2 linked regions of the Mus musculus genome follow. The protein of the gene in region 2 interacts with the protein of the main gene of each other region in a pairwise test. Links are inferred from orthologs where the notes say so. Each region holds a gene or a part of one and is shown on either strand. Other genes may lie near its edges.

Region 1 (4,550 bases), on a different chromosome or scaffold from region 2:
GCTTAAACACTAGCAAAAGTCTAAGTAATGGGGCTGGAGAGATGGCTCAGCAGTAAAGAGCACATGTTGCTCTTATAGAAGACCTGGGTTCAGTTCCCAGCATCCACCTGGTGGTTCACAACCAAATGCTGACCTCTGTGGGCACCAGCCACTCACCCCAGTGTACAGACAAAGTTCTCACATCCATAAATAAGTGTTAAAAAATTAAAGACTAGGGCTGGTGAGATGGCTCAGTGGGTAAGAGCACCCGACTGCTCTTCCGAAGGTCCGGAGTTCAAATCCCAGCAACCACATGGTGGCTCACAACCATCCGTAAGGAGATCTGACGCCCTCTTCTGGAGTGTCTGAAGACAGCTACAGTGTACTTACATATAATAAATAAATAAATCTTTAAAAAAAAAAAATTAAAGACTAAATAAAGCAGAAGAGAAGGTTGGGTACTTGGAACCAGTGAAGGACATTCCTGGAAGGAATGGCTTTCAACTTAAGATACCAGACAAGGCTCTGTGGGGTCTTGAGGCCCAAAACAGATGGGCCCAGCCTTCTGAAGGACCAAGTAAAGGGCAAGTATCTAGAGGTGGCAACCACCTTCATCTGTCTCTGGAATGATCCACAGCCTCCGTTGCAGAGAACAAGCCAATAGGTGAGCTCAACCGCAGGTGAGACTGTGGGGCAGCCAAAGCCTGAGCGGAGGGGAGAAGGGACAGGCTCTACATTTAGGACCTCTTCCTACTCACTTGACTCTGGCTCTGTGACTCCCACCTTTGAGAGGCACGGGTGAATACCTTCCACCTTCTGCAGCCCAACTCTCACCTTGGAAAGCCAGCAGATTGTCTTGTCAATCCAACAACATCCACTCTTCCATCCCTTCTCCTCTCATCACCAAACTCTCGCCTCACGCCTCGAGTGCTGCGCACTACTGCAGCAGAACCTGTCTCCACCCACTCCCCCACCATCTGCTGAGTCGGCCACAGCTTCCTCTGGGGTGCATCCTGGGAACAGGTGTTATACTCCATTGTACCAACTTCCATCTTTTGGCTTGTATTGTTTTTGTTTGTTTGTTTGTTTTCTTTTGTTTTGTTTTTTTTGTCTGGAACTCTATGTAACGCAAACTGGCCTCAAACTTGTCAAAGTTCTCCAGCCTCTGCCTCTTGAGTGCCAGAACTACAGGCATGTAACACCATGTTGGACTTTTCCTGCATTTTGGTTTTTTTTTTTTTTGAGACAAGGTCTATGTAGCCTTGGCCGGCCTGGAACTTGCTCTGTAGACCGGGTTGGACTCAAGCCCGTAGATTCACCTGCCTTTACCTTCTGAACGCTGGCATTCGAGGTGTTCGATACCATGCTCATTTTTTGTTTGCTTAGAATATTTTGAGTTTTTGCCTACACGAGGACCTCAGGACTGAAGTTACACAAGGCTGTGAAGCACCAAGTGGGTACTGGGCACTGAACCCCTGTTCCCTGGTTCTTCACCACTGCACCAGTTTTACTTAGCCTCTTGCTTTCTACAGGTCTACTGTTAGCAGACTGGCTCCTGATGCTTCCTGAAGCCTCACTTTGCCAGGTAGGTCTCCGAAGACCCCCTTACTGCTCTCCACTGGCCGGGTGGCCCAGCTTCTGCTCTGCTCCGGGCGCTGCTGCTCTTTCCTTGGCCCTCTCCCAGACCCCATCCTGTTACCCTCATCTGACTTCACACAAGCGTCTACACCTGGGTCTCAGCACTCCCCAGCTGGGCCATCCCATGATCGTTTCTAGGCTGATGGCTGCTACCTACCTGCCCAACAGTCAGGGTTGGTGTCTTCCCAGGGACATGCGTCTCTCATCTCAGCAAGTGGCTCCTTGTCCTTCTGAACACTCTGGCCAGAGACCAGTTCATGCTTGGCTACATCTCCCTCATTGTCTTCTCCCATTCAGCAGCAAGTCATAATACTCTCCTACTACCACCATGGTCTAAGCCACCATCCTGTGCTCCCTTCATAGTCCAGCTGCCTAAATGGCCCCAGCCCATGGGCTCTCCCTCTCTCCAGCTCTTTCCTTCTCAACCTTTCTTGAACATGCCTGTCTTATCCTCCTCCAGGGCCTTCGCACTTGCAGGTCCTCTGCTTACGTTTTCCCAGCTCTCTCTACCTCCTTGTGGACTCTATTCTTCTCATCCTACACTACATATCTTACTTGCTTTATCAATTTTTTCTCCCCTTTCATCACAGAATATCTGAAATGAAGCCTTTTTCGCTTCCCTGTTTTACCGAATTCCCTAACATAGGTGCTTGGAGGTCATCTAATGAGTGTCTTTCTCAGAATTGTCTAAAACACGCACGAGTGGTAAAGTTCTACGTGCACATTAAATTTCCTTTTCTCCCTCTGCTACTTTGTGGATCGCAGATGCCTAGGTGGCCCGGCACAGTGCAAGACGGGTGATGCAGGTGCCAGTTAATGCGGTGAAAGGTCGCTGGTGGCCTTAAGTGACAGCGGGACCTGTGGCCAACCGAGTCCACGCCTACTCGCAGGAGCCTAGGCGGTCCTCGAGACCCTGGGATTCCGACCCTAAGGGAAGCGCCAAGGCCTACACCCGTAGATGAAGGGGAGGGGGTCAGCGCCAGGGAGGAGCAGGGCCCACGCTCGGGCCAGCCCGAGGCAGCGTGACGTCCGAGTCACCACCACTGCGTCGCGCCTCGCAGTGATACTGGAGTCCCAAGTCTAGGCCGGGCCTTGAGACCACCGGGCTGCCTTCTGCACGCCAACCCCCACCCCGCAGAGTGGTACGGCCCTCCCCGGCCCCGCGCCGAGCAGTGGTAGCGCCGCGTGCGTGACGCACCACCGGCAATAGGTACCCACGGCGGCCGCGCCCCCCCACGCCCGGCTCCGCCCACCCGGCGGGCCCCGCTACCCTCGCGACCGCTCTAGCGCTCGGAGGATACAGCATGAGCAGCCGCAGCTCTCGCTCTTTCTGCTTCATCTTCTTCAGAATGGTCAGAAGCCCCATGATCCCGTAGCCCCCTCCCGGCCGCCGTTTCTTCTAGTCCCGGGACCCCGCTCCCGTCTCCTATTGGCCAGCCTGGCGCTTGTGGCCGCCCTCGTTGTCACGTGACCACAGGAGTGCAGGGCGTCGCCCCCTAGAGGCGCTGCGGCGACTTTGAAGCCTGCTGCGTTAACCCTTGTCGGGAAGGCAGAGGGTTGGTGGGGACAAGGGAGAAGTCCCTAAGCCTTCCGACTCCGAGGCCTCGGTCGGATGCCAGACAGAGGCTGACTTTCTCGAGCAGTATCTCGTCTGGGTAGGGAGTAGCCGCGAAGAGATTCTGAGCTAGGAGTCGGAATCTGGTTCCACAAAGAGCTGACGAATCATCCGGGGACTGTAATACGGTTCCCACCAGTGCATCTTGTGACTTCCATTCATTTACCAGTGACGGAAAACCGTTGGTCCTGGTCCGGGACTCTGTCGGAAATGGCTCTGTGCGTTCACTTGAGGATGATGACTCCCCCTAGGGGCCATTTCTAAATGTGCGGACAGTATGGCCTCCTTGGGTTGTTTAGAGTTCCAAGCTCCCCGCAATGCAGGGACCAGACCCGCACAAAGGATTGAGTGCTATCTAGGACCCTATCAGGTTGAGACGCTCTATCCCAACTGTTAGGATAAAACTGGCAGGGCAGAGCCTGTCTCAAAAAACAACGATAAAAAACCTGAAGCCCACCTGGTGCTTAGCCTCATGGCTGCTGGCATGTACTAGCTGTACAATCAGATTATCTTCAGTAAATGACTTTGACAAGAGTTCTTTAAAAAAAATTTTTTTTTCTTTGCTGGTTGTGTTGGCACATATCTTTAATTCCAATGCCTGGGTGGCATAGACAAGTGGATCTCTGTGAGTTTGAGGGCAGCCTGGTCTGTATATATATTGAGGACAGAAAGGGCTACACATCTGAGACCCTGTCTCAAAACAATCATCATTGTTGTGTGTAAACTCTGTATGTGTGTGTGTGTGTGTGTGTGTGTGCGCGCGCGCGTGTCTGCACATACCACTGGAGATCAGAGGACAACTTTGTGGAGCTGATTCTCACACTTTTTTTTTAAGATTAATTTATATGTAAGTACACTGTAGCTGTCTTCAGACCCCTTAGAAGAGGGCATCAGATCTCATTATAGGTTGTTGTGAGCCACCGGTGTGGTTGCTGAGATTTGAACTCAGGTTAAGAGCAGTCAGTGCTCTTAACCGCTGAGCCATCTCTCCAGCCCCGATTGTCGCACTTTTATGTGGGTTCCAGGCAGGGAATTTAGCATCAGACTTTCTCAGCAAGTTTTTTTTTTTTTTTTTTTTTTTTTTTTTTTTTTTTTTTAATTGGTGAGATTTCTCACTGGCCCAAAGAGTTAGTTTCTCTTTTTTTGTTTTTTGTTTGTTTTTGCTTTTTCCGAGACAGGGGTTTTCTCTGTGTAGGTTTTTCTCTCTTTCTTTCTGGCTGTCCTGGAACTCACTCTGTAGACCAGGCTGGCCTCGAACTCAGAAACCCGCCTGCCTCTGCGTCCCAAGTGCTGGGATTAAAGGCATGCGCCACCACTA
Region 2 (4,492 bases):
GGCCAACAGGGGAGAGTCATTGACCTTGGCTGAACCAAATCTAATCTAGTCTCGGAGTTTGTTAGGCTGCACAGTCTATAGCTGTGAAAGTTACTTCAAATGATACTTTGTTTGAAAATTTATCTTTGAAGCACTAAAGGAAGACCACTGCTTGACAGGAATACACGTTTCCAAATGTTTTGACAACTTGAAACTAGAACCTTTCACCAAAGAAGGTTGCAAAGTATTTTTAAAGATAGTAACAAAAAAGCAGAGTTTCAAGATATATGCTAGAATTAAAAGGAAGGGTGCCTCTTACAGCCCAGGTTTCTGAAAGGCTCAGGAAGGTCACCGCAGTATTTTAAAAATCCTCGGCGCTCCGGCAGCCACATTTTGACATTATTGGGCAGCCAAACTGTACTTCAGAAACCGCCTTCACGTGCCAGACGCATGCAGAAAGTAGATAATATAAACTCCCGTGGATATCACACCGCGGTGCACACTTAGTGAACATTCATTCTGTCTATGGCTTTATTTTCGCGCAATGAGAACTGATCCATCAAACCTTCCCAAAAGACCCGCAGACAAGTCGCACATTTGGGCGCACAACTTCAATTTCAGCTTTGCGTTTTCACCAAACCCCTCTCGCCGTGCGCGCTGCGCGTCTCCCCACGCGCGGTGCTCCGGGTCCCATCCTAGAACTCGCTCACGGCAGGCGAAGCACCTTTCCAGGTACGCTCCGGAGCGGGCGTGTTTACGCGCATCCAAGTGTGCGGCACTTTGAACGCGGAGTCCATGTGGAGCCCGCGCCGAGCTCCCGCAGCTGCCGGCCGCCTCCGGGGATCGGAGCGGCCGCGGCTCGCGGGATTGCTGCGGGCGAAGGGACTCAAGCGCCACCCAGGCAGCGGGACAGCCCCGGCTGCGGGCTCTGGAACGAATGCGCGGCGAGCCCAGCCCCCAGCGCCGCGAGCGAGCGAGGGAGGCTGGGTGGAGGGAGAGCGGAGCGAGTGAGGAAGCCGAGTGTGGAACGGCTCGTCGGCCGCCACCCCCACCGCCACCGCCGCGCTGCCTCCACCGCGGCCCCGCCCCTCCGCCGCGCCCCTCCCCCACTCCGGCGCTCCTCCCTCTAAGTTCCCCCTCCCAGGTCCCCCTCCCCGTCGAGGTTCCCCTCCCCCTCCCAGGCTCAGGCTCCCTTCCCCCTCGCCTCTCCTTCTCGGGGCTCCCTTCCCCCTCCACAACCCGTTTCCCCACTCCTCCTCCAGGCTCCCCTCCCCCGCCCAGCTCTCCTTCTCTTCCACCACCCGGCTCCGCTCCCCTCCCCCTCCCGGGTCCTCCTCACTTCCTCCCCTCCCCCTCCGGGCGCGCCCCACCCCTCCGCTCCCCTCGTCTCCCCTCCCCCTCCTCGGGTCCTCCTCCCCTCCCCCTCCACCCCCTCCCCCTCTACCCCTCCCCCTCCTCGCTCCCTGTTCCCTCCTCCCTCCCCGCGCGCCGGGCGCAGGCCGCTCGGGTTTGTTTTGCTGCGCGGCCGTCGCCGCCGCGGGCCCGGAGCTCATTTGTGCCTGGCTGGTCCCCGCGCTCCCCGGTGCCGAGCCGGAGCCGTTGGCCGCTCGCGCGCTTGGCTCTCTCCCTTAGTAACAGCTCCCCTCCTGCCTCGGTGCTGCGCCCTGCCCCCGCGCCCCTCCCCCGCCGGACCCGCTGCCCGGCTGTCAGCGCCCGCACCCCAGGGCGCCTCGGGGTGCCGACGGCGGCCAGGAGGGGAGCGCCGCGCGTCCTGGAGGGGACAGCGTCGCCAAGCAGGTGAGCGCGGGCCCGGGGCTGCGGGCGCCGCGAACTTGGCCTGGGCGCGGGGGAGGGGCGGCTGCGCTCACGTGCTGCCCCCCCGGGTCGGGGTGGCTGCGGGAGGCACTGGGCCCAGGCGAGCGGGCTTGGGGGCGCAGGCTGGATGCGGGGCCGCAGCCGCCCTGTGCTCACATAGCGGGGGAGCGGCCAGGGCTCAGGATGGGTGCTGGTCCGCGCTCGGGCGCGCGGGCTGCAGTCGCCCGGTCGCGCACCCCTCGGGCTGTGGCGCGCGGAGACCCCGGGCGGCGGCGGGGACCGCGGGCGGCTGTTGGGGCGCGGGCGGGGGAGGGGCGCGGCCGGGCCTCGCTCACTCAGGACGCGAGTGTGGGCACCTTGTGCCTGTGGCCTCCCCACGAGGAGGCCCTGGCCACAGCCTCGGTAAAGTTGGGTCAGAAGTGTATACAGTTGGCAAACTTATTGCCAGCTTCCTGGTAAGTTTCGGGGTGGCACACAAGTCACATTATCTTCTGACAGTATAGAGCCACGTTGTGAGTGTTTGCTGGGTGACTTCCTCTTTGCAACCGATGTCTTTTTTTTTTTTTTTTTTTTTTTTTTGGAACAGGGGCTGACTTTCATTTAAGTGTAATTCCACGTTGAAAGGCAGCTCGAGGCGAATCATGCATGTGTTAGAGTGTTCGGTAATTTTGGAAGTTCTCAATTTGGATTAAATTTAGGTTGTGAAAATGGTCTGTTCTGTGTAACATTTGGGTTGGGTGGCTTTTAAGAAACGCTCTCTTTGTTAGGTTACCCAACACTGAAAATAATTTGGTGATCACACAGAAGAGTTGGAACATAGCTAAACATTACATTTCTTTAACAGTCTGGAGTTTTCTTAAAACCTTGGTTGGACTTTATCGGCCCCAGGGTGAAGGGTTATATGCCATTTACAGTTAATTAGGGAAGTTTACTGTTGGCTTTCTTGTTTTTCCATATAAGAACCTTATGCTGGTCTAAACATGTTAATAAAGTACGGTGGATGAAATGATGTGTTATTTCTAGTTTGAATCTTGAGATTGAAAGCCCCCCATCAGTGTAAAACAATACAAGGCCATGTCTTACTGATTTAACTTAGCTAAAGTGCTTTGCAGTATCTTGGTGGCCCATTGAAGGTAGTAAATGAGTTTTGGGTTTCCCTGTGTGATTCACGTTCAGTTTTGTTAAATAAGACCCATGCTTATTGGAGCACTTCAGTAATCCTGACTTCCTGGGACTGTATGTTCTCGCCACTTTAATAAGTTTATAGTCTGGGGAAGTAGGGCATCTTTATCTGCACAAAAACACTGTGTATCAGTTGGATTGAATCGTGGGAGTTAATGGCAAACTTCCCAAATTATCACTGAGAGTTCTAGAAACAGTTGGCATTTAGCTATGGGGGAGGGGCGGTAGGTCGCCAGCCTGCCTGAAAGGGGTTGGGCAGGTCCTGTGTGCCCTTCGTGTCTAAATGGAGGCTTCTCTGCTGCTTTGACTATTTCTCTCTTAGTTTTGCTGCCCTGCATGGGATGAAGTCTGTAATCGCAAACACTAAACACTCAAATTACTTGTCTTACCTTTAGTTTGTAAACTCAGATCTCTAGAATTTAGGACGAACACGCCAACCCTGTGAGGAAAGAAAATATGTGTAAAAAAAGCTAAGCAACTTCATTAACTTGTTAACGTCTTCAGAATTCTTGCAGTTGACCCTGTCTTTGAAGCACACTTCTAATCTGTACATGTTGTTAGCATAGGAGACTGGTGGTAAATGGAGTGTGTGGGTGGTTTTTTTTTTTTTTTTGGTAGTGTTGGGAATTGAGCCTAGAGCCTCACTCCTGATAGATAAGTGCTCTACCAATGAGCTACTGCCCAACCTTGATATTGTATTTTGTTGAAGACCAATAAAACATTTTAACTTTTTATATAAACCCAAGAACCTCTTTTGATACTTGTAGTCTCCATCTAATTAAGGTTTTTGCAAGACTGATTATCATAATACCTGTCTGCCAGAGAACCAGAAATAACTGCTTCCTGTGAAACTGGTAAGCTTTCAAGCTAGCGAGCTAGGTCGCTACAGCTTTATAAACATGGGGTCTCTGATGAAAAGGGGCTGACACATGGACCTTTGACACTTGAACCTGTTGAGTAAATGTCCTAGTTCACTTACAGCGATGAAGTGTAACTGCAGAGTGGTCTCCACACAGTTTCTCCAAGGATGGCTGGCTACTGTGGACATTCACTGAGCAGGTGTGGATGGAGCTGAAACTATTTGTTAAGGTTTGATACTTACATTAACACTGAGAGAGATGGCAGAAACATTGGCTCTGCTTACAACTGTTTTTCTAGTACATGTGAATTTGACTCATTTTCAGAAATATTTACAGTGTATGTACATCCCTGAAGTGGGAAGAGGAAACAGTGAGCAGGAGACATTTACATTTTGTCCTCAGACCTGGGGTTGTGTAGCAAGAAGGCCTTCACCTTGCTTGCTGAACTGCCATCAACAGAGCCTTGGGATGATGGTCAGGAGGTCTGACGACTTATGTTGGTGGCATCCTACTTAGTAATTGTACAGTTTATTGCCTTTTTGCCAGACATCTGGACAAGGACAGGGACTCTGCCTGAGCCACCTCCAGGAAGGTGTGAGGAGGCACTGCCTGTCACACTGCCTGTCACACTGCCTGTCACACTGCCTGTCGCTCAG

Evidence for each region.
Region 1: the proteins of Tbl1xr1 (region 2) and Arl2 interact in binary tests that used the Homo sapiens proteins (3 or more experiments, as listed by UniProt). The two-hybrid records come from large-scale screens. The link is inferred for Mus musculus from reciprocal best matches to the Homo sapiens genes TBL1XR1 and ARL2.

What each region holds. Positions count from the first base shown.
Region 1 is NC_000085.6:6,138,119-6,142,668, forward strand, and holds the start of Arl2 (ADP-ribosylation factor-like protein 2), read right to left. Parts: upstream 3,020-4,550; 5' UTR 2,984-3,019; coding exon 2,919-2,983; exon of another isoform or gene 1,512-2,918; intron 1-1,511. UniProt on the Homo sapiens protein: Small GTP-binding protein which cycles between an inactive GDP-bound and an active GTP-bound form, and the rate of cycling is regulated by guanine nucleotide exchange factors (GEF) and GTPase-activating proteins (GAP).
Region 2 is NC_000069.6:22,075,179-22,079,670, forward strand, and holds the start of Tbl1xr1 (F-box-like/WD repeat-containing protein TBL1XR1), read left to right. Parts: upstream 1-1,473; 5' UTR 1,474-1,776; intron 1,777-2,131; exon of another isoform or gene 2,132-2,249; intron 2,250-4,492. UniProt on the Homo sapiens protein: F-box-like protein involved in the recruitment of the ubiquitin/19S proteasome complex to nuclear receptor-regulated transcription units. Plays an essential role in transcription activation mediated by nuclear receptors.